2 linked regions of the Astyanax mexicanus genome follow. The protein of the gene in region 2 purifies or fractionates together with the protein of the main gene of each other region. This does not show direct contact. Links are inferred from orthologs where the notes say so. Each region holds a gene or a part of one and is shown on either strand. Other genes may lie near its edges.

The links.
Region 1: the proteins of spata5l1 (region 2) and timm13 purify together in Homo sapiens (co-immunoprecipitation; 3 studies listed by BioGRID and IntAct, with this or other methods). This does not show direct contact. The link is inferred for Astyanax mexicanus from reciprocal best matches to the Homo sapiens genes AFG2B and TIMM13.

Annotation. Positions count from the first base shown.
Region 1 is NC_064423.1:26,850,240-26,860,101, forward strand, and holds timm13 (mitochondrial import inner membrane translocase subunit Tim13), read right to left. Parts: upstream 3,861-9,862; 5' UTR 3,719-3,860; coding exon 3,599-3,718; intron 2,297-3,598; coding exon 2,228-2,296; intron 1,515-2,227; coding exon 1,416-1,514; 3' UTR 708-1,415; downstream 1-707. Other genes in the region: rsph3 (radial spoke head protein 3 homolog), read left to right, coding at 5,477-5,589, 6,125-6,212, 6,311-6,452, 6,760-6,905, 7,586-7,789, 8,069-8,231, 8,339-8,425, 8,722-8,762. UniProt on the Homo sapiens protein: Mitochondrial intermembrane chaperone that participates in the import and insertion of some multi-pass transmembrane proteins into the mitochondrial inner membrane.
Region 2 is NC_064416.1:44,363,667-44,373,608, reverse strand, and holds the start of spata5l1 (spermatogenesis-associated protein 5-like protein 1), read right to left. Parts: upstream 4,548-9,942; 5' UTR 4,440-4,547; intron 2,983-4,439; 5' UTR 2,978-2,982; coding exon 1,802-2,977; intron 1-1,801. UniProt on the Homo sapiens protein: ATP-dependent chaperone part of the 55LCC heterohexameric ATPase complex which is chromatin-associated and promotes replisome proteostasis to maintain replication fork progression and genome stability.

The sequences.
Region 1 (9,862 bases), on a different chromosome or scaffold from region 2:
CGGCACACAGGCTTTCTGAAACAGAGTCGGCTCAGTCTCACCAGTGGAAAACGGCCATTACCACGAAACAGGAGGAATGAACATGTCCTGTTGTTACCCATAATTCCCTAGGGGGGCATATTTAGGCCTATTACTACTTTATAGCAGTTACTGGAGCTTAGTCCTGGACTTTTTTCAATTAAACAGCTGTGTAGTCTAAGGCTATTCTGATGCTGTCACACCTACCTTGTTTGGTCCAGACTTTCAGACTTCTGGTCTGAACAAAAATAGCAGGTGTGAAAGGGACCTCGAATCACGATCCAGACCATTTGGGGGGGGGGGGGGGGGGGGGGTTTGTTGAATTTGTACAGTAAAAGTTTTTTTGGATTTGTTCAGACCAATTACAGAAAGTTGAGGCAAACTACCATCACCTCATCCATAAAGCAGAACAAGAATTGGCATGAGAAATTAGACTCCCTTTCACATGCACTTGTGTCTCACAGCAGAACAGCACATCACATTACACACCGGCAGTTCCTATACCTACTGTAGGGTTATGCTCATTCTGTGGAATAAAGCATGTACACTAAAAGGGAGTGGGATTCTGGTGGAGAGTGAAGAATTGAAAATTGTTCTGTAATATCAGATGTGAAAACATCCCTTAAGTCCCCAAGTTCTCCTCATGAAATCCACTTCTAGAGTTAAAAGATGTTAAACAAGGCACAAAATGAATATTTAGACATATTTGTTTATTTAACATTTACTCCTACTCTTTTTCATGTTAAATCAGGTGCTTTACTGTTTCATAGCAGCTGTTTCCAGACTGGCCAAGCTTTCCAGAGCACCATAAAATGCTTCATTGCCAAGTTGTAAGAAGACAGGTCATGTGCATTTAAAAAATAAAACATATTACATTTTAATGAAATCAGGATAGACTGAATGCAATTTGTTCTATCTGTTCAATGTTCTATAAAGCTTGTCCAACAGTTGGAAACAGCTGCTACACAACACTCTTCAGTGCAGACATGGCTAGGACAATACACTGCCTTACTGAACCAAAAGGCAGTAACTGTGACAACAGTTTAACTGAGACAAATATAGTTCTGACGTAGCAGAGGTGTCACAAGATGAACCTGATCCTCAAACATCTGACTTAATACTAACTCAATTTTAACCAAACCTGAAATGATTATTCTGCCTCTGTACAGCAATATAATAATCAAATACCTTCCATGAGTGTAACTGTCCACCCACATTCAACATGCCTAAGGGGGGGAAAAAGGAAATAACTTGGGTCTAAAAGTCAGAATCTCCCGATTCCTTGGATGGTTCTCCAGTTCTGGGTGTTACAGGGGCGGGGCTGATCCACTGGTACCCCAAGCCTCTATACCCAGGGATTCAGGTTAACACTGAGGTCCAACTGGATGGATTCTGCATTACATTCGCGCCCTTTCCCTCTGAAGTCTAGAGTTATAGGCGCGAGAGACTGTGTTCCATGCATCCATATACCGGTCCATGCACATGGCGATGCATTTCTGCAAAAAAAAACAAAATAACAATTTTAGAAACTCAGAAACCGTCTGTAAATAAATTGAAAAAGAGGGTGGGATACACTAGTAAGCAAGGGAATAGTCAGTTCTTAAACTTAAGGCAAGTATGAGGGTCTGAGTCAGCATAAAAAAGCCTAATCTGACTGATAGATGAATGGGTCAGAGCATCTCAAAAACATCAGGCAGGTCTATTGGGGGAACCCAGGATGCAATTGTCAGTACCTACCAAAAGGTGCTCCAAAGAAGGTTAGTGAACCGTGAAACGGTGAACTGGTGACAGGGATATGGGCGCTAAAGGCTCACTGATGCTCATGAAGGCCCACTTCACAACTTACAGGACTGCTGTTAATGTCTTGGTGGCAGATACCACAGGACACCTTCAGAGGTCTTATGGAGTCCATGCCTTGACTGGTCAGAGCTGGTTTGGTGGCATGACAATATTACAAAAAATGTTTTAAATGCTATGGCTGATTTATATATATAAAAAAAAAAACAGCTTTTGTCAATGACCGTGAAAGTGCATAATATGACTGCATTTATTATAATTAGAAATCATAAAAGTAGAAAAATAAAATTGTCTTTTTCCCAATAAAACAAAAATGCAAAATCTGTTGTGTCATGGTGAACCTTGCAGGAATAAATGTATCATATATGCATGTACACATACACAAGTAAAAAAGAGAAAAACTGATTCCTACCTGTTCTGAATTGTCCAGTGTGCTTCCAGGCTTGCCAATGCACTTCTTGAAGCACTTATCTGTCATTCTCTGAGAAAATAATACATAACAAATCGATACCTTGGTTGGGTCTACAATCAAATACAAGTGTGCCAATATCAGACTGAGGACACCTTTAAACCAAAGTTAGTTATCCAGTTATTTCCCCAAAAGGGCTGGTGTCACTGAAGGTTTTTATTCCAGCCAAGCAGAAACACAGCATGTCTGTCATCTGTTTAAAGACAGGCCCAATTAATAACAAATAGAATCAGGTCTACAGCTATTTTTTAGAATGAAAACCTGAAAACCAACCCTTTGTGGGTAAGAAGTGATGATACTTCTACTGCACTCCAAATATATATAGGACTGAAGTAAAATAAATCAGATATAATTCATCTCTAGTAGCTATAATGGGAAACGAGAAATTAGATTTATTTTTTTTGGCTAAAAGCAGCAGAATATAATATTGTTTACGATATTCAAATATTATGGAGATATTATTATATATGTTACGATATGGCACACCCCTAGTTAGTGTATTCCTTTACAAATAAAATTTACCGCTTAAGAGTTTCTATGATTTGCCCAAATTGAAAACCTCTGGAACATAATCAAGTGGAATATGGATGATCATAACCATCAAACCAAGCTGAACTGCTTGAATTTTTGCACCAGGGGTGGCATAAAGTTATTCAAAAGCAGTGTGTAAGACTGGTGGAGGAAAACATGACAAGATGCATGAAAACTGTGTTAAAAAACAGGGTTTTCCGCCAAATATTGATTTCTGAACTCTTAAAACTTTATGAATATAAACTTTTCTTTTCATTATTTGAGGTCAGAAAGCTCTGCATATTTTGTTATTTCAGCCACTTCTCATTTTATGCAAAAAAAATGCTCTTAATGACAATATTTTTATTTGGAATTGGGGAGAAATGTCTGTAGTTTATAGAATAAAGCAACAATGTTTATTTTACTCAAACATCTACCTATAAATAGCAAAATCAGAGAAACTGATTCAGAAAATGAAGTGGTCTCTTAATTCTTTTTCCAGAGCTGTATACTACATTACTGTACTGTTTCAATGAGTTTTGAATGTCCCCTTTAACTGCTGGATTATTTAGAGCACAGCAGCTCAGGAGAAACAGAGGTTTCAGTAATGAATGACTATGAATGACTCATTACTCTTTGATTAATATGTTTGTTTCCCAATTGGCTGTTTGGTTCCACCTTATCTGATGCAGTTGTTTTGTGGGTAACTAGCTGTATTTAATCTGTAATGTGGAGATTGTAATGAGCAGCTAGGCTAGGCTAGTGCTGGGTTATTTAGCCTGAGCGTGTGATCTGTGCTGTTACCTGCAGGAGCTCCTGAGCGTTCGCCACCGCTATCTGCACCTTCACCTGCTCCATTATAGTGCCCGTGTCCATTTTCCCGGACCCCGCCGCGGAGGAGTAATCTGAACCGAAGCTGTCCATATTTCTGTGTTTATTAATAAACCCTAATTCGCTAAAACTGCCCTGTATCCGGCTTTACTCCCTCCGTGAGGCTCTCACATGGACTGTTTCCCCTAATGCCCTTCAGATGCACCGGAGGAACTGCTTACACTGCTTCCGCAGACAGAGGGTTTATGGGAAATGAAGTTTCTTTCTTTCTTTTTTGCAGCAGCAGACTGGGTCACTTTCTTATAAGGACGAATTATTAAGTCACAGATTCAGCTAAAACATTATTTTAAATGCTCCTTCTTTAAGGTAACACTGGGATTTAGTATGTAATGTAATGTAAGAATAATGGAAGAGGAGTAACGAGGCGATTTTAACAGATAACTTTGTGAAAATGTGAGGAGTAGGTGTACAGATAATTGTGTGAAGAATTATTACTCCAGTAAAGTATAGCTAACCAATATTTATTCTTAGGTAAGGTAAGCATTTGTACTTAGTTACTTGACACCTCTGTCTAAAATGTAGAAAGTAATAAAAATAAAGAAAAAAAACATTAACTAAGAAGGGAGATCTGGTACTGTATCTGACTGTATTCATGACAAAATGTACTCATGCATTAACCATTAAAATGCACAAATTATTAATGAAATTTTTATTAAAGCATAACTTTTTGACATACAAGTTTTTGTTCAGACGACAATATATTAGCTACGTGTTTTTTGTTCTACGCGTAAAAACTGGAACAAATCTTCCACAGGAAACACTTACAATACATGCTGCACACATCATTACAAGGTATGACAAAGAAATAGGGAGAAAAAATAAACCTTTGAACATTTGATTAATACATACATACCTGGCATACATATTGTTTTCAGGCTTGTTTATGAGTTCTGAGTTTAAGGGAATTAAAAATTTCAGTAAAAGTATGATAACAGTTTGTTAAACACTGTCTGTGCTGTCATGGAAATTACGATAGTGACTTATTGTACATTATACCACAGTTTGTTCCGACCCTGCAATGTGATTGGCTGGGAGGCGTTCTGTGAGTGTATTACTCCGCCACATACAGGTAACATTAGCAATGATGCAGCGCTTACCAGTTAAACAGCGCAGCTACAAACAAAGCAGCAATGGAACTATTTATAAACACCACTCGCGAAGTGTTTATAACCGAACATATCGCATTTTCTGTCCTTTAGAACTAAAAATATGTTCGCAAAGAAATACAAATATTACTACAATTGTAACTCCAGTGTCTCTATAAGAACAGTATTTTATATAAACAGCAGAGGGCGGTATAACCCAGGTTCTCACCTGTAGTAGTGATGGGATCTCCGGCTCTATTTTGAGATGAGCCGGCTCTTTCAGCTCCCCATATATATTTTTTACATATTTTTACATAATATTTACATATTAATTAATTAATAGCCTAACCTAATTTTATAACATTTTGTTTCATTATGGATGGACAGCGAGACACCGAAGGACAAAAACTGTCGGCTCTGTGACACGACAGGGAGGCGGAGAGACAGCGAGATACTGAAGGAAAAAACGACTCCCAAAAAGGATCCTAAAACGGCTCCCATTGTGGAGCCGGTTCCAATCGAGTCGGCTCTTACAGCCGGATCTTTCGCGAACGACAGGTCACTAACCTGTAGCGGTCACTGTTGCCTAGAAACCACCACTAACAACAGCAGCAGCAGAGGTTTCTTACATGGTTTACTCAGCTGCGTCTTTTTATTTATATTATCATTAAATATTATATTTTAACAGATATTTTACTGAACAAGAATGGCTTCGGCGTTACAGCCCTACAACCAGGATCCAAACGGAGCGTATGTGTTCTCTAGTCGACCACGGCCTGCTCCAACGCGCCTCAAATACAAGGACCCTGCGGTGATTCAGTAAGACATAAACTATTAATTCACCTGACATAACTTAACTATTTACAGCAGAGTAAAACCAGCCAACCGTGACTTTATTTGCTAAAGTAAAATCTGACTGAAATATCTGTACTGCATTTTACTAGAGTCAACTATGAGAGTTTATTATATGGTTAACTATATTTGACCAACATTCACTTATTGTTTTTCTATCTTTCGCTCTTTTTTACTTTGTCTAATAGTGTATCTAATGTAATAATAATAAAATGTAGCTAAAAAGTCAACTGACTTGCTAACTTAATAATATTTTACCATTCAGTAAATAATTATATAGAAATACTTCAATCAAAGTGGGTTGTGGATCAAATAATAATAATAATAATAATAATAAACAGTTCATTGATAATCTTTTAAATAAGAATGTGTAGTAGAAATTAATGTTTTAGTGAAATAGCTTTTTTATAATTTATTAATAAGTGACATAAGTTTGTATAACTAATTGTGTATATATATATATATATATTTTTTTTTTTTTTTTTTTTTTTATTGTATGCAGAAATGAAGAATTATATGTATATGGAAACATTATGTACGATCGGCGTGTTGTCAGAGGAAATACCTATGCACAACACACTCTGCCACTTGTAAGTGACATTATTTATCTGCTGTACAATATAGCTACATAAGGTGTCACTTGATCACTTTGTCTAAAATCAGCTATTTAAAAACCTGTGTGTAACAGAGGTCACAGCCTGACCCTGCTGAGCTTCAAAAACAGCAAGAGACCAGAAGGAGAGCCCTGGCAAGAAAGAGAGCTAAAGAGCAGTTCCGCTTATTAACCCCAGAAGCACTTGAAGGGAGGAAACACACGGATGTGCAGACTGGTGAGCATTATGTGTTTTAGAAAGAGACGATTACTGTGGTGCTGCTGCTTCTTGTTAATATTGGCAGGAAGAGGTTAGTCATCAACATTACACCCTTTCGCTGTACATTAATTTTCGACTCAATGGAGTAGCTGAGCTGCAGTAGAAATGACAATAACAGCACTTTTACTGGTGAAACATTTTACTTACAAGGCAAACTGGTTATAGAATGAAAGGGAATGGACCTAAAGCCTTAATGTTTTGTACAGTCAATGAGTCAAAAAGTATTTAAAAAATAATTGTAATCTATATTTGATTTGTGGCTTAGAGCTGTACTTGGAGGAGCTGAGTGATCATCCTGAAGATGCCAGTGTGGGATGTCAGACTGATGCATTCCTAGACAAACCAGCCACTCCTCTCTTTATCCCTGCCAAGTCTGGAAAAGATGTAGCCACACAAATAGAGGAAGGAGAGGTACAGACCGAACACATTTATTGTTTTTTAAAATGTATTTAACATTACCAGAGCCTAGCATAGCAGTCATGTTATTTGTGTACTCCTTTCAGGTACTGGGGTAGAGACTACTAAATAATCTACAGTGTACTAAAGGCCTCTGAGACTTTTTTTAGAAAGAATTACATACACTCTAAAAAACAGAGGTACAATATGAGTACTTTTTTGTACTCAAAGGTACACTCTTCATAATCATACCTTTAAAGGTACAATATTGCTCTTTACAGGGTCAGATTTGTTCCCTCTGAAGTACAAAGTCATTCCTAACAGCAATAAGTACAATTTTTTACCATTTAACCAGAAAAAAGGTACATTCAGTATTCTGTATCACTGTACTAATAAACAATATATATTTTATTTGCACATTTTTTATTTGAAAGCCAGACAATTTTGGATCATCAAGTTTCTGAGCCATATTTAGTTGATGATAATGTTTATAATCTTTATAATCTTTACTGGCACAAAAACCATGGGTACAAAAAAGGACTTTTACTGAAAGGTACTTTTTTGTACCTCAATATAAGGTACAGCCCCAGCGACAAGCTTTGTACTCTTTTAAGTACAAATCAGTACTTACATTTCTTAGTGTGTAGCTTTATTCTTACTCTTCATTAGTCTAAATCTTTCCATTCTTTTTACAGCTGTTTTACTTTGACACAGAGGTGCAGCCTGTGTTAGAGGTGCTGATAGGAAAGACCATGGAACAGGCTCTGTTGGAAGTTCTGGAAGAGGAAGAGCTGGCATCCCTGAGGGCTCAACAGCGTGCCTTCCAGGAGCTGCGTAATGCTGAAATTGTGGAGGTACAGCGACTGGAGGAACAGGAGAGGCGCCACCGAGAGGAGAAGGTAACCTCACCTGAATTATGAGCTTTTATGATCTAGTATCTTCCTAGTAAGCCAAGATCTACAGTTTTGCTAATTAATTTTATTTATTCATTGCTCTATTCTTTTTTTTATGTGTTCATAATACTAACCAGTACTACAGGTTTGTTCCCATGGATGATTTTGTTGCCTGTGTGATGCCCCAGGAGGCCATAAATAGAAAATCAAAAAACATAAATTGGCACAATATGGCCATAATATCCCTTCAGCTCTTCAGACTTGTGTGTTGCTTTCCTGATGTAGGTACGCAGACTTAAGCAGCAGAGAGAAGTCTTGGAGAATGAGAGAGTAATAGCAGAGAAAATAGCAGCTAGAGTATTTGCTCAGCAATACCTGGCTGACCTGCTGCCCTCCGTCTACAACACTCTGAGAGACCAGGGCTATTTCTACGACCCAGTGCAGAGAGGTGCTTCATATCCTTTTAAAATACGGCATTTGAAGATTACACAGTTAAACATCTATTAAATCAGTCTATGTTCTTTATTTTAATATATTCTTTCCATTGTATCTCAGATATAGAGACAGGATTCCTCCCCTGGCTGATGGCAGAAGTGGACAGTGCTTTGAAGAAACGAGAGATTGTGCTTACAATGCTTGACAGTGAGTTTAGAATTTTGTGTTTTCCTTTATACATAGACACTTTGTATTTTTACACTGTAAAAGTTAAGAATTAGCATAGAGAATGAGCTTCCAAGTGGGTCCCTACACCTTACACTGTTTACCAATGTTCTGTTGTGCTTCTCTGTGTACACTGTGTTGCAGTGTTGTGCAATATTTAAAACTCGTCAAAACATAATCAGTTCTCCAGCTTATGCTGGAGTAAACCTTTATGTTTCTTTTCTCAATATTTTAGAGAAGTGAATCTGCTTAACCTTATCTTTACTGCTCTATTACAGCCCTCATCTATGATGTGGCCAACAGCAGACAGGAGACGTAGATTTGGAATGTAGACCCTCTTCCTCTGTTGGTAAATTTACACTTTACTCAATATTTTTTTATCAGGAGTTTGACCATTAGAGGGTTATTAAAAAATACTAGTAAACATTATTTCAACAAGACATAGTGCATCTTAAAGGTCAGAGCTTATAGTTTATTTACACTCTATTTGTTTTAACTTGTTTAAGCATTAAATGTGTTTTTTTTTTAATTAATCACATTTGCAGCTTTAACCCTGCCTGCTACAACTGTTATCTGTTATTCTATTTATGGAATAAATAAATATTCAAGAATGTAAGAATTACCCAAATCTTTTGTCTTTTAATTTTTTATTTTCATGTTACAGGTCACGTCTGAGATATGATTTGAGAAACCAGTACCTTAAAGCTGTAAATAAAACATTGTGTGATATCATTTGTGTCTTGTTTGTTCATAATTGTAAAGCTGTGCACAAATGATCTAACAGCAGGAAATGGTGTAATTTCTTAATTATGCATTGGGTATGTATGCAGGGCTGTGCAGAGCTGTGCAAATATCTAGAAAGGAAAATTTCCAGACTTGAGACTAAATGCATGTTGAATGTTGAAGACACCGTTGTCCACCCAATGAATTTTTTGATTGGTGTATTATTGCATGATGATCAAATCTGGGATGAAGCAGTTTAGTTTACTTTCATAATAAAGAGAAATAGTGTGAGAATAAGTAATGTTTAAAAAAACACGATTGCAAAAAAAATCTAATAAATAATGTACTTGATAATGGAAACCTAAAATATTAGGTAAGAAATGGTGGAGTTAAAGTTGCACTAGAGTCTGCCCCCAGAGGGCGCCAGAGTCATTTTGACTTTACTATTCAGCCGCTGTCGTCCTGTGAATAGTAAATGATATATAGTTAAAAAAAGTGAGGGTGATTTTTTTTCATTGGTTAAAAGCTTGCAGCTGGTGAGTAGCAATGGAAATAAACTGAGCTTTGGAAATGGATTTTAAAAATGTCATTTTCCAAAGCTTTTGTTAGTTAAATAGTTGTAAATACACTTTTACGTTTCGAAACTTTTTTAAACCTTATCGTATGTGTGTGTGTGTGTGTGTGTGTGTGTGTGTG
Region 2 (9,942 bases):
GAATCAGCTAAGAGTTTGGTGACAGAAATCATATGCTTTTATAAGCCATTTGGATGCTCCCTTATTGTGACATCACAATAAGGAAACCTGCATAGGACCAGGGCCCCACCCACCAGATCAGTTGAAGAAACATTACTTTGGTCTGCTTAAGATTAGTGCTGGACGATATGGCCAAAATTTATATCACAATATATATTCCTTCATTTCGGTCGATAAGATATAATTTTGATATCGATATAAATACTTTGAAGGCCTCAGAAAAACTGCTAAGAATCCCTGCAATTGATATCTGTACACTACTGTCTGAAAATTAATTTAAGTCTTTAAATCCTCTCAAAAAAAGCGAACTTTAGAAATACTTTAGAAATAAAAAATGGTTAGAATAAATCAATGCTCACTTTAATTTGCATGTAGCAAAATAAAAATATGAGATCTCTGTCAAACATAAACCTATAACCTATACACATATTACCAATATAAATAACTTTACATTACAACAGAGGCAGAGCTTCTTATTTTTTTGTAAACATATTTAACAGATCAAAACAAAAGTGCTTCAACCAGGATAGGGAATACAAAAAGCCTTCATATACATAAAGAGAACATGATATCCCTGTCAAATAAACAAACCTATATCAACTATAAATAACTTAGATACAACATAAACTACAAAAGTGCTTCAGATATTGTGTGTAGTGCTTGAAGTGGTGGAACAGACCGGACCGGAGCGCAGTCGAGCTTCATCGCGGGACATTCTAGGTGCGGAGCGGAGCTGAGATCCGCTCGGTTAGGGTCGGTTTCGCTTCATCGCGGGTGGGTTTTAGGTGCGGTGCGGAGCGGAGCGCGGCCGAGATCCGTTTGGTTAGGGTTGGTTTCTCTTCAATACGGGAGATTTTAGGTGCGGAGCGGAGCACAGCCGAGATCCGCTCAGCTAGGGTCGGTTTTGCTTCATCGCGGGAGGTTTTAGATGGGGAGCGCAGCCGAGCTTCATCGCGGGACATTTAGCAATGCGGAGTGGAGTGGAGCCGACCCAGGCCTAGCCTAGCCTAGCCACGTGCCTGTATGATTACGTCATTATGCACTGACGTAGCCCGGCTACGTAGGCTGTTTGTGTTCAGCTCTGCAGTGAACTGACACCTCAAAAAAAACGCCTGTCTGTGAAAGATTCTGAAAATAACACATATCGATACGCCACAAAAATGATATCACCGTTATTAAAACATTTCTTATCGTGATGAATACCGATATCAAAATATTGTCTAGGGCTACTTAAGATCCTCGTACACATCAGGATTAGAGATCAGACTTCTTCTGAAGAAGGGATCTGTATCTACTCTCCGTAGCAAGTCAGTAGGAAGATGGAAGTACAGCTATGCATCAGAGGCAAAAGCTTTTATGGATTTATTGCAAGTGACGGAGCCCTTAAACGGCTCACTCTAAAAGGGACTGAAACTGGTAAGAACAGAGGTGGTGGGATGCCTTTATGCTAGAGTGAATTTGTGCAAAGAACTTCATGAACTTGTTTTGTTTTGGCCATAGACCTGTTCTAACTTGTGTTTTTTACTGGAGGTAAAGTGGGTGGCTAGGGGCCACAGTTTAAGAATGAAAAAGTTTGAGAATTGTTGCAATGGGAAGCTTTAATCTATTAGTAGTGTAGAGATGACAGCGCAAATTTAGCGAAAATAGTTGTCTGATGCGAACCACACAACATTCAAGTACAATTTAAATGGATTTAATTAGACAACACTTCATGCATCCATGTGTTAAAAAGAAATTTTATTTTTAAAATTATGAACTTTACCTCTCTGTCGAACCGGCCAGGTCTCCTGAGGGCCGGGTCCAGTGTGTCAGGCTGATTGGTCGCTGCGATGATGATGAAACTTTCATCGCTGCCGATCCCATCCATGAGCGTCAGCAGCTGAGCTACGATACGATTTTCTGGAGTGCTGCCAGATTCACTCCTCCTCGGACAGAGAGCATCGATCTCATCAATAAACAAAACACATGGACCGTCCAGCGCCGCCGCCCGAGCACGGTCGAACGCCCTGCGCAGGTTCTCTTCGCTCTCTCCAGGGCGTGACCCCACCACCACAGGGCCGTTTATGGTCACCAGCGCTGCTCCGACTTTCTGCACCACATTTCGGACCAGCTGGGTCTTTCCCACCCCTGGCGGCCCCACCAACAGCGCCCCCCGTGGACAGGGCAGGCCTAGACGCTTTAAGCTGCCTGGATAGTGCAGCGGAACCGTTAGCATCTCTTTTAGAGAAGAAAGCACCTCCTCGACTCCGCCCAAGGGCACAGAAGGAGTCTTTCTCAAAGCCTGTCTGTACTTCTGAACTGTCTGAACCGAGCTCAAGTCCAGGCGGGTCTCGGCAGTGACCAGTCCAGCTTTTTGCGAGCCAGAGTTCACCTTCTCCACCTCTATGAACTGAATCTGAGTCCCAGCTCTCGCAACACTCACCAAGTGCTTCTCGTGCACATACAGACCCATCAGTAGCTCCTTTGCGAGCTCCTGAATGTACTGGATGGGCTCAGTTTCAGAACTCTGCACCAGAACCTTCACAGACAAGCGCTTAAGACGTGGGCAGGTTAGTGGCTTAATTTTCATCCTCTGGAGGCACTGGAGTTTCATTAAATTGATATTGAATCCAGCGTAGCTGTTTTCAGACTGAGGCGTTGGTTGGGTGCTGAGCTTCATTGCATCATAGTTGATGAGGTTTACTCCAGCGCAGGTGGTTTGGAACTGCAGGTATCCATTAGCGAGGTCACTCCGAGGCCATGCGGTGCAGAGGCAGGACCCCCGGGGCAGCAGGATGAGAAGCGGAGAACCCAGCTTCAGCCCCAGCTCCTCCATCACTGCAGGACCCAGACGACATCTCTGAGTGCCAGCGTCCACAGAGTCTGGCGGCAACACCACCAGATCTCCGTCTTCCACAGGAGGCATCTTCTGGATCTGGGGGGTTACAACAGCATCCATAAGACCTAGAACATAACACACAACAGGTCACAGAAGGGTCATATTATTCAGAGCAGATACAATTCACACAGCATACTTAAAACACAAACACATGATGCATTTAAGATGTTCTTACCATGTCAGAATTCAAATAGTTACAAAATTGTTTTGTAAGGCCCCCCCAGATATTTGGTCTTTGTCCATTCTTTGCTGAGCAGAGTGAAGATATTTTCAAACGTTCTGATTGGCTCTTTGAGTTATGTAAAACCATCAGATTGCTTTGAGCTGTTAGATAAAGAAGTGCACGTTCTGTCTGTGTGAACATTAGAAGCAGGTACAGTATCCCACAAAAGTGAGCACAGCCCTCACACATTTGTAAATATTTTATTATAACACTAAATATATGACACTTTGATACAGTGTAAAGTAGTCAGTGTACAGCTCTGTGGAGTCAAATGCTTGTCTCGCTGTGTCCTACCTGGAGAAAAATGAGAACAGCATCTAAGCAGCAAACACCAATTACTGTGTCTAACTTGTGCAATAGAGCATATGAGAAATCTGGGAATCTTTTTAAATACTTAAATATTAGGTGTTTTAGGTCCATTTATAGTGTTTACGGAACTATTTAAAATACCTAGTTTTAAGTAAGCCGTGTTAAAGTTGTTGGTGTATATCCTTTTTTTTTTTTTTTTCTATTTTTTCCCATTTGCTCCCCAATTTACACAGCCAATTACCCAACCCATTCATTAGGGACTTCCCCTATCACTAGCGATACCTCAACACACCAGGAGGGTGAAGACTAACACATGCTTCCTCAGATACATGTGAAGTCAGCCACCGCTTCTTTTCGAGCTGCTGCTGATGCAGCATTGCCGAGTAGCCAGCACGCTTGGAGGAAAGCACAGCGGCTCGGTTCTGGTACATCAGCTCACAGACGCCCTGTGCTGCAGACATCACCATAGGAGTGATGTGGGGAAAGAGCGCCATCTACCCACCCGGAGGGAGCTCCCTCTAACGCCAGCAGCTTGATGGCAAAGCTGCATGAGCTGGGGTTCGAACCGGCGACCTCCTGCTCATAGTGGCAGCGCTTTAGACCGCTGGACCACTCGGCGCCGGTGTATATCTTATATCTTTTAAGGTCTATAATTTAAATACTTCAGCTGTTTTTCTAATAATTAAGTCTGATTTCGTCATATATTATGTACTTTTGTGGGACAAAGTAAAAGCAACAGTAATCAAAGCATTAATTTAAAGACTTAATGTTTTATATTATATATATTTATATATATATATATATACTCCTAACAGTGTGGGTTATAAAGTGGAGAAAGTGACACTGTGCACTAGAGAGGGGCCCTAGTTAGACAGCTGATTTCTAATTAGAGCGCGACCTCCAATACACTACACACACAGCTCCGGCCACGCGCTCCGTATAAACACCCTGACTATATCCCACTGATCCAGTGATGATAATTAATCTTACCTTCAGCCGCCCCGCGCGGCTTCACTCCGCGACATGCTGCTGTGTTTACCTGTCCTGTAGGGAAAGCATGGAGCCCGCGCTCTTACTCTACCGCTGAGCAAACACTCACTGCTGCCCCCACCGGCCTGGAGTGAGAGCAGAAGCGAGGCTTTTGGGTAATCAAATCAAATGAATCAATTGGTTCGGAAAAAGATTCGATCTAGTGAGTCGTTCGAATCACTCCTTTATTACAGTGGCATCTGCTGGTCAATCAGGGTCATTATAACGACTCCTTTTCTGACTGTTTAAGGCTAAATGCAAAAATAGAAAATTGTATGTAAAAAAAAATCATTATTTCTTTTTTTATGTAGTGCAGTGTACAAGAAATAAGTTTTCATCCATTTTTCCAATTTATTTTTTCATCTCTGCACCTTACAAATGTATTTTTAGGGAAAAAAAGAACAAAGAATATATATTTTTCCTCATTTTTCCATTTTTGCATTTTGCAAGGATTATTATTATACCTTAAGATTTGTGTTGCAAGGTACACAATTTACAACTCTGAAAATTGAGAGAAGATTCACTTTTTCATTCTGTTTGCCAAAGGTTGAAATAAAAATTTATATAAATGACAAATTGGATGAATAACCATTTCTTCTTCATTCTACTGAATATAAAAAAAATAATGATTAAGTTCTATTACCAATTTTCTATTTTCGAATTTTGCTTGATGCAGTCACAGAAATTAAACTGCTAAACTTTACACTGACCAATTTATCTTTAAGACCAAAATTATCCCAGATCCCCCAATTAAGACTTCAAACCCCCTTAAGGGATAAAACAATAGTTTGGTCAAAACATTTAAATATACTTCAAACATATAAAGTTAAAAACTACAAAAACAATGTATCTGTGCCTGGAAGAATATTGTGATACGATTTCAATCTCCCCTAAAGTGGATCATACCATTCCATCTTAATAATAATCATTCCTCTTCTTTACCTGCTGCTGCCTCATTATTTGTCATGTGGCTAATTGTGTCTAGGTTAAGGTACACAAGCTGCTCGAGATACAGCATTACAAGTAAGTAGCTTCTATCTACTTATCTTTTTATAAATAAGCACTTTAAACACACTTTTCCTTACAGAAATAACTCACATGAATTTACTATCCCACCTTAAATGCTGCCAATTTACCATTCCGCCTTAAATGCTGCTGTAGCGGCACTCAGGCTTCAGGCGTTTTTAAGGTAGAACCGAAGATTCAAATGGGAATCCACGTTCTGTTTTATTTGAACTGTTTTTCTGTGATTTCTGCACAACCTGAGCAGAAATGTGTAAAACTTTTAAAACACTTTATTATCTACTACAGTCTAAAGAGGAAACTGTGTTTTAACGTAGAGAAAATGTGTTTTAATGCAGGGAAACTGTTAAGGTGGAATGGAAATGTGTTTTAAGGTGGAATGGAAATGTGAACAAGAAACTAAAAGCTTTATACGCTGCAGTGAGTTAGACCTAGTGAAGAATTAACATTAGTTACGCAGATGAGCAGTTGAGCAGATGAACAGTAAACTGGTTTATTACAATTTTTTAAAGGTAAGACTTATTTTCTAATCTTTTTACTATGCTACTTTAAAAATTAACAGTAGCCAAGCCTTTTAAATGGCTTTAGCCGAGCTATATAAATGCATTCCTACATATCTCCCCTTAACATTTAATATTGTAGTCCCAGAGTCAAAATATGTGGATGAGATGAGGAACAAAAGTCTTCTCTACAGGGTTTTTACATTGTTATTTTATATTTATTTAGAATGAAATAATACATGATTCCTGTGGGAGAGATCCTATAGAATATAAATTAAAATGTAATGGTAAGAAAGCTGATTAAAGATAGCATCTGATAGCATTGTGTCTGTGTGTTTTTGCAGGATTAACTGTGGATAATATATTATTTATATGTATAAAGGTTATTGTGTGGTATATAAGTGCTACATTAGCTGATGTTTATACATTAGTAATGGTTTTATATTTAATGTGTTGTAGACATTACAGTAAGGAAGTGAGACACTGTAAGGATTATAAGACTTCAGTTTAGTGAAGCAGCACCTAAGCTGTACTGGTTTCCATTTACACCCTGGGCCAGTTGGAGACATTTTAACTGTACAATCATCCACTTTTCTAGTTGATCATACTATTATTGATTGATCATGTGGTGTTTTTGTGCTGTTGGTTCCGTCATAAGACACTTTGCAAGAAGTTCTTTGCAGTTTTTACGTCAGATAAAGTCAAATAAAGTTGATATGTGAAATGGTCAGTGTGATCAGATTACTTTGTACGTGGTCTCTGTCATTTATATTTTCTTCTGGTCTGAATCTCATCCATATATGGTTGGTTGTAGTCAATTTGACAAAATGTGTTTTTTTAGTTTAGTTTTATAGAACATAAGGGAACGTAACCACAGCATACAGTAACAGAATGGAACTGTTGTGTCGCTCAGGCAGTGGTAAAAGTCTATAAACACTGTTGAGGATGTAGATAAGGTTCATAAGCTTTTTATCACGTGATCTGCTATTTATAGCAGAGATAGAGGGCCATGCTGAAACTGTGGAGAAGGAGAAAGCAAGGACAGTGTTTCTATTACACACCAGTATTCTGATAATACACCACCCATCTCTGTGTGTTTCCCTCTTCCAGAGGAGCCTGTGAGCAATACGAGTGGAAAAATCAACCAATCCTTTTATGGAGCGTGCCCTGCAGTTTCTCAGACCGTGTGTGTGTGTGTGTGTGAGTGATTGAGAGAGAGAGAGAAAGAGAGAGAGAGAGAGAGAGAGAGCGTTGTATAAAGAGCATTAAAGGGCTCATATCATAGATAAATGAAAAAAAAGATAATTAAAGAGTATTCTACAATGAGTATGATATATAACTATATATAACTAATCTACAAAAGCATCACCTTTGGAATAGAGTGTGTTTGTGATGTCACACAGTAAAATCCATAGTATTAAAAACACAATGAAAACATATTTTTCCCTTTTGAGTATTAACATATACTATTTCTATACTAGCATTAGTTAAATGTGTAATTTAATATTTTTTTTCTTTACAAACATGAATTAAGTAAAGAACTTAACTAATTTTAATAAATTACTTTTTATGTATAGAAATCAAAGATTTATGTTTATCATATGTACTGTTGTACAGTAAAAAAAAAATAATAGTTATTTCTTTTTTCATCCACCATCCAGTTAAAATATGTAATGTTAAAATTCTTTAAATGTTAAATGTATATTTTTAAACTTGATGTGAATATTTAAGTTGTAATACAAATGACATATCTGCACTGCATAATGCTATCTATTCTAATCGCCAGGTAACATATAAATATAAAATCACACACACACACAGGACTTAAAGGAAGAACAAGAATAAAAACTCTCTACATAAAAAAAGTAATTAAAAATGTAACCAAATGGGCACAGAGTGTTCCAGCACTCTAAAGTGCTGCCAATATGATTGGAAGATTGCTGGTTCAAATCCAGCTTGCCATCAGCTGCCGGAGCTCTGAGAGCACAGTTGACCTTGCTTGCTCTGGGTAAGTAGATAGCATTCTCTCCCCACATCACTTTAAAGGGTGATGTTGATCAGCACAAGGCCTCTGTGAGCTGATGTATCAGAACCGAGTCGCTGCGCTTTCTTCCGAGTGTGCTATGATGCTACTCAACAATGCTGGATCAGCAGCAGTTAAAAAAAGACGGAGTCTGATTTTGCATGTGTCGAAAGAGGCGTGTGCTGGTTTTTTACCCTCCTTGTGTTGTGGCATCATCAGTGATGGGGGGGATATACAGCTGAATGTGTGGGAAAATTGGCCTAGCTAAATTGGGAGAAAAACAGGAGAAAATTTAAGTAAAATTATTGGAAAGAATCCATTCCACACGATCGATAGGAGAATACACATACCACTGAAAGCAGGAGGAGGTGAAATCAGCCCCATTACCATCTCACAATGTCCAATTTTTACTAAAACCTATTTTTTTTGGGTTATATGCCCATGTTCTTTTTTCTTTTTTTTTCCATGTTTAGCTGTTTTATTTTTTCAACTTTTTAGCTATATTCCCTCTATCACTAGTAATGCCCCAACACCAGAAGGGTGAACTGAACTGAACTGCTGCTGATGTAGCATTGTCTAGTAGCATCACAGCGCTAACACTCCGAGAAAAGCGCCTTGTGCTGATCAACATCACCCTAAGAGTGCCATCTACGCACCCAGAGAGAGCAAGGCCAATTGAGCTATCTTGGACTCTGGCAGCTGATGGCAAGCTACATGATCGGGATTTCGAAGCACCACTCGGAGCCTGTTAAATGAACGTTCAATAAAACAATTGAATATTAGGAGTAAACTTTGACTTATTTACGGAACAATGTTATTCCTAGTTATTCCCAGTAATCGTGTATTAGCAACAGGCTGGTAAATATATGGACTAGAGAAATGAGGACTTGTTGAATTGTTGAATCTGTCTGTAAAATAGTCATTCATTTAAGTCTCTTTTATAAGTAAAATTATGTGTATTTTTAACACCAGAATGGTGTAAATTGCATCTAATTCATAAAAAAAATTATGCCCCCAACACCCCCCCATGGAATGTTCTCAGAACATTCCTGGAACATATTAAAGCAATCATACGCTAGAGGTTCGTGCTATAATGTGTAAAATTGGCCCTGCTGTGCTGCAGTCGCGCCTGTATTAAACAAGTATATTATTGCGATTATACCACAGTTCCAGTATCGCTGTTTAATGTAGGATTTTGAGTTAAAAAGAACAAGAAAATATGATCTGTTTGGTTATAAAACAGTCAGGCTGGCTTGAAAACACTGCATCGTTGCTAGGTTACCTGTTTGTGGTGCAGTAATACATGAAGAGCTTCAATTACAGTGCATTACTGGCTGATAATGGCATTCACAGAAAGCCCCTCGGCCAATCACATTGCAGGTTCGGAACTAACTGTGGTATAATATACTGTATAATATAACATTACGTGCAAAAAAAATAATAAACGTTTTTATAACGTTCTCTGTTCGCTGGGGAGTATAGACACAGTGATCTGAGTTTGTTATTGTAAGGTCAAATTTCCAGATTTTGCTTGAAGGTGGGTAAAACTAAGTTAAGAGACTCAAAATGAGGAGTACTAAAAGTTTAGATTAGATTTAAGATGGATTCACTTGCTCAGGGATCATTTTTCACTGTGTGACTGTGAGTATGACTGGAGGCCCTACGCCTGTGTGTGTGTGTGTGTATGTGTGTGTGTTTGTATGTGCGCATGTTAGAGTTTCTTGGCACTGCGCTCCAGTTCTTCGTCATGCTGTGAGTTCTCGCGTTGTCGTCTCTCTGTGTGTAAGTGTGTGTGTGTGAGAGAGTGTGTGTGTGAGCCGGCTGTGTCCTGCTCTCCCTCTAATGTCACAGGGGCCGTGGGCAGGCCTGCAGGCGGAGAAGGGCTCTGAGAAGAAGGACAGCATATAGATAAAAAGAA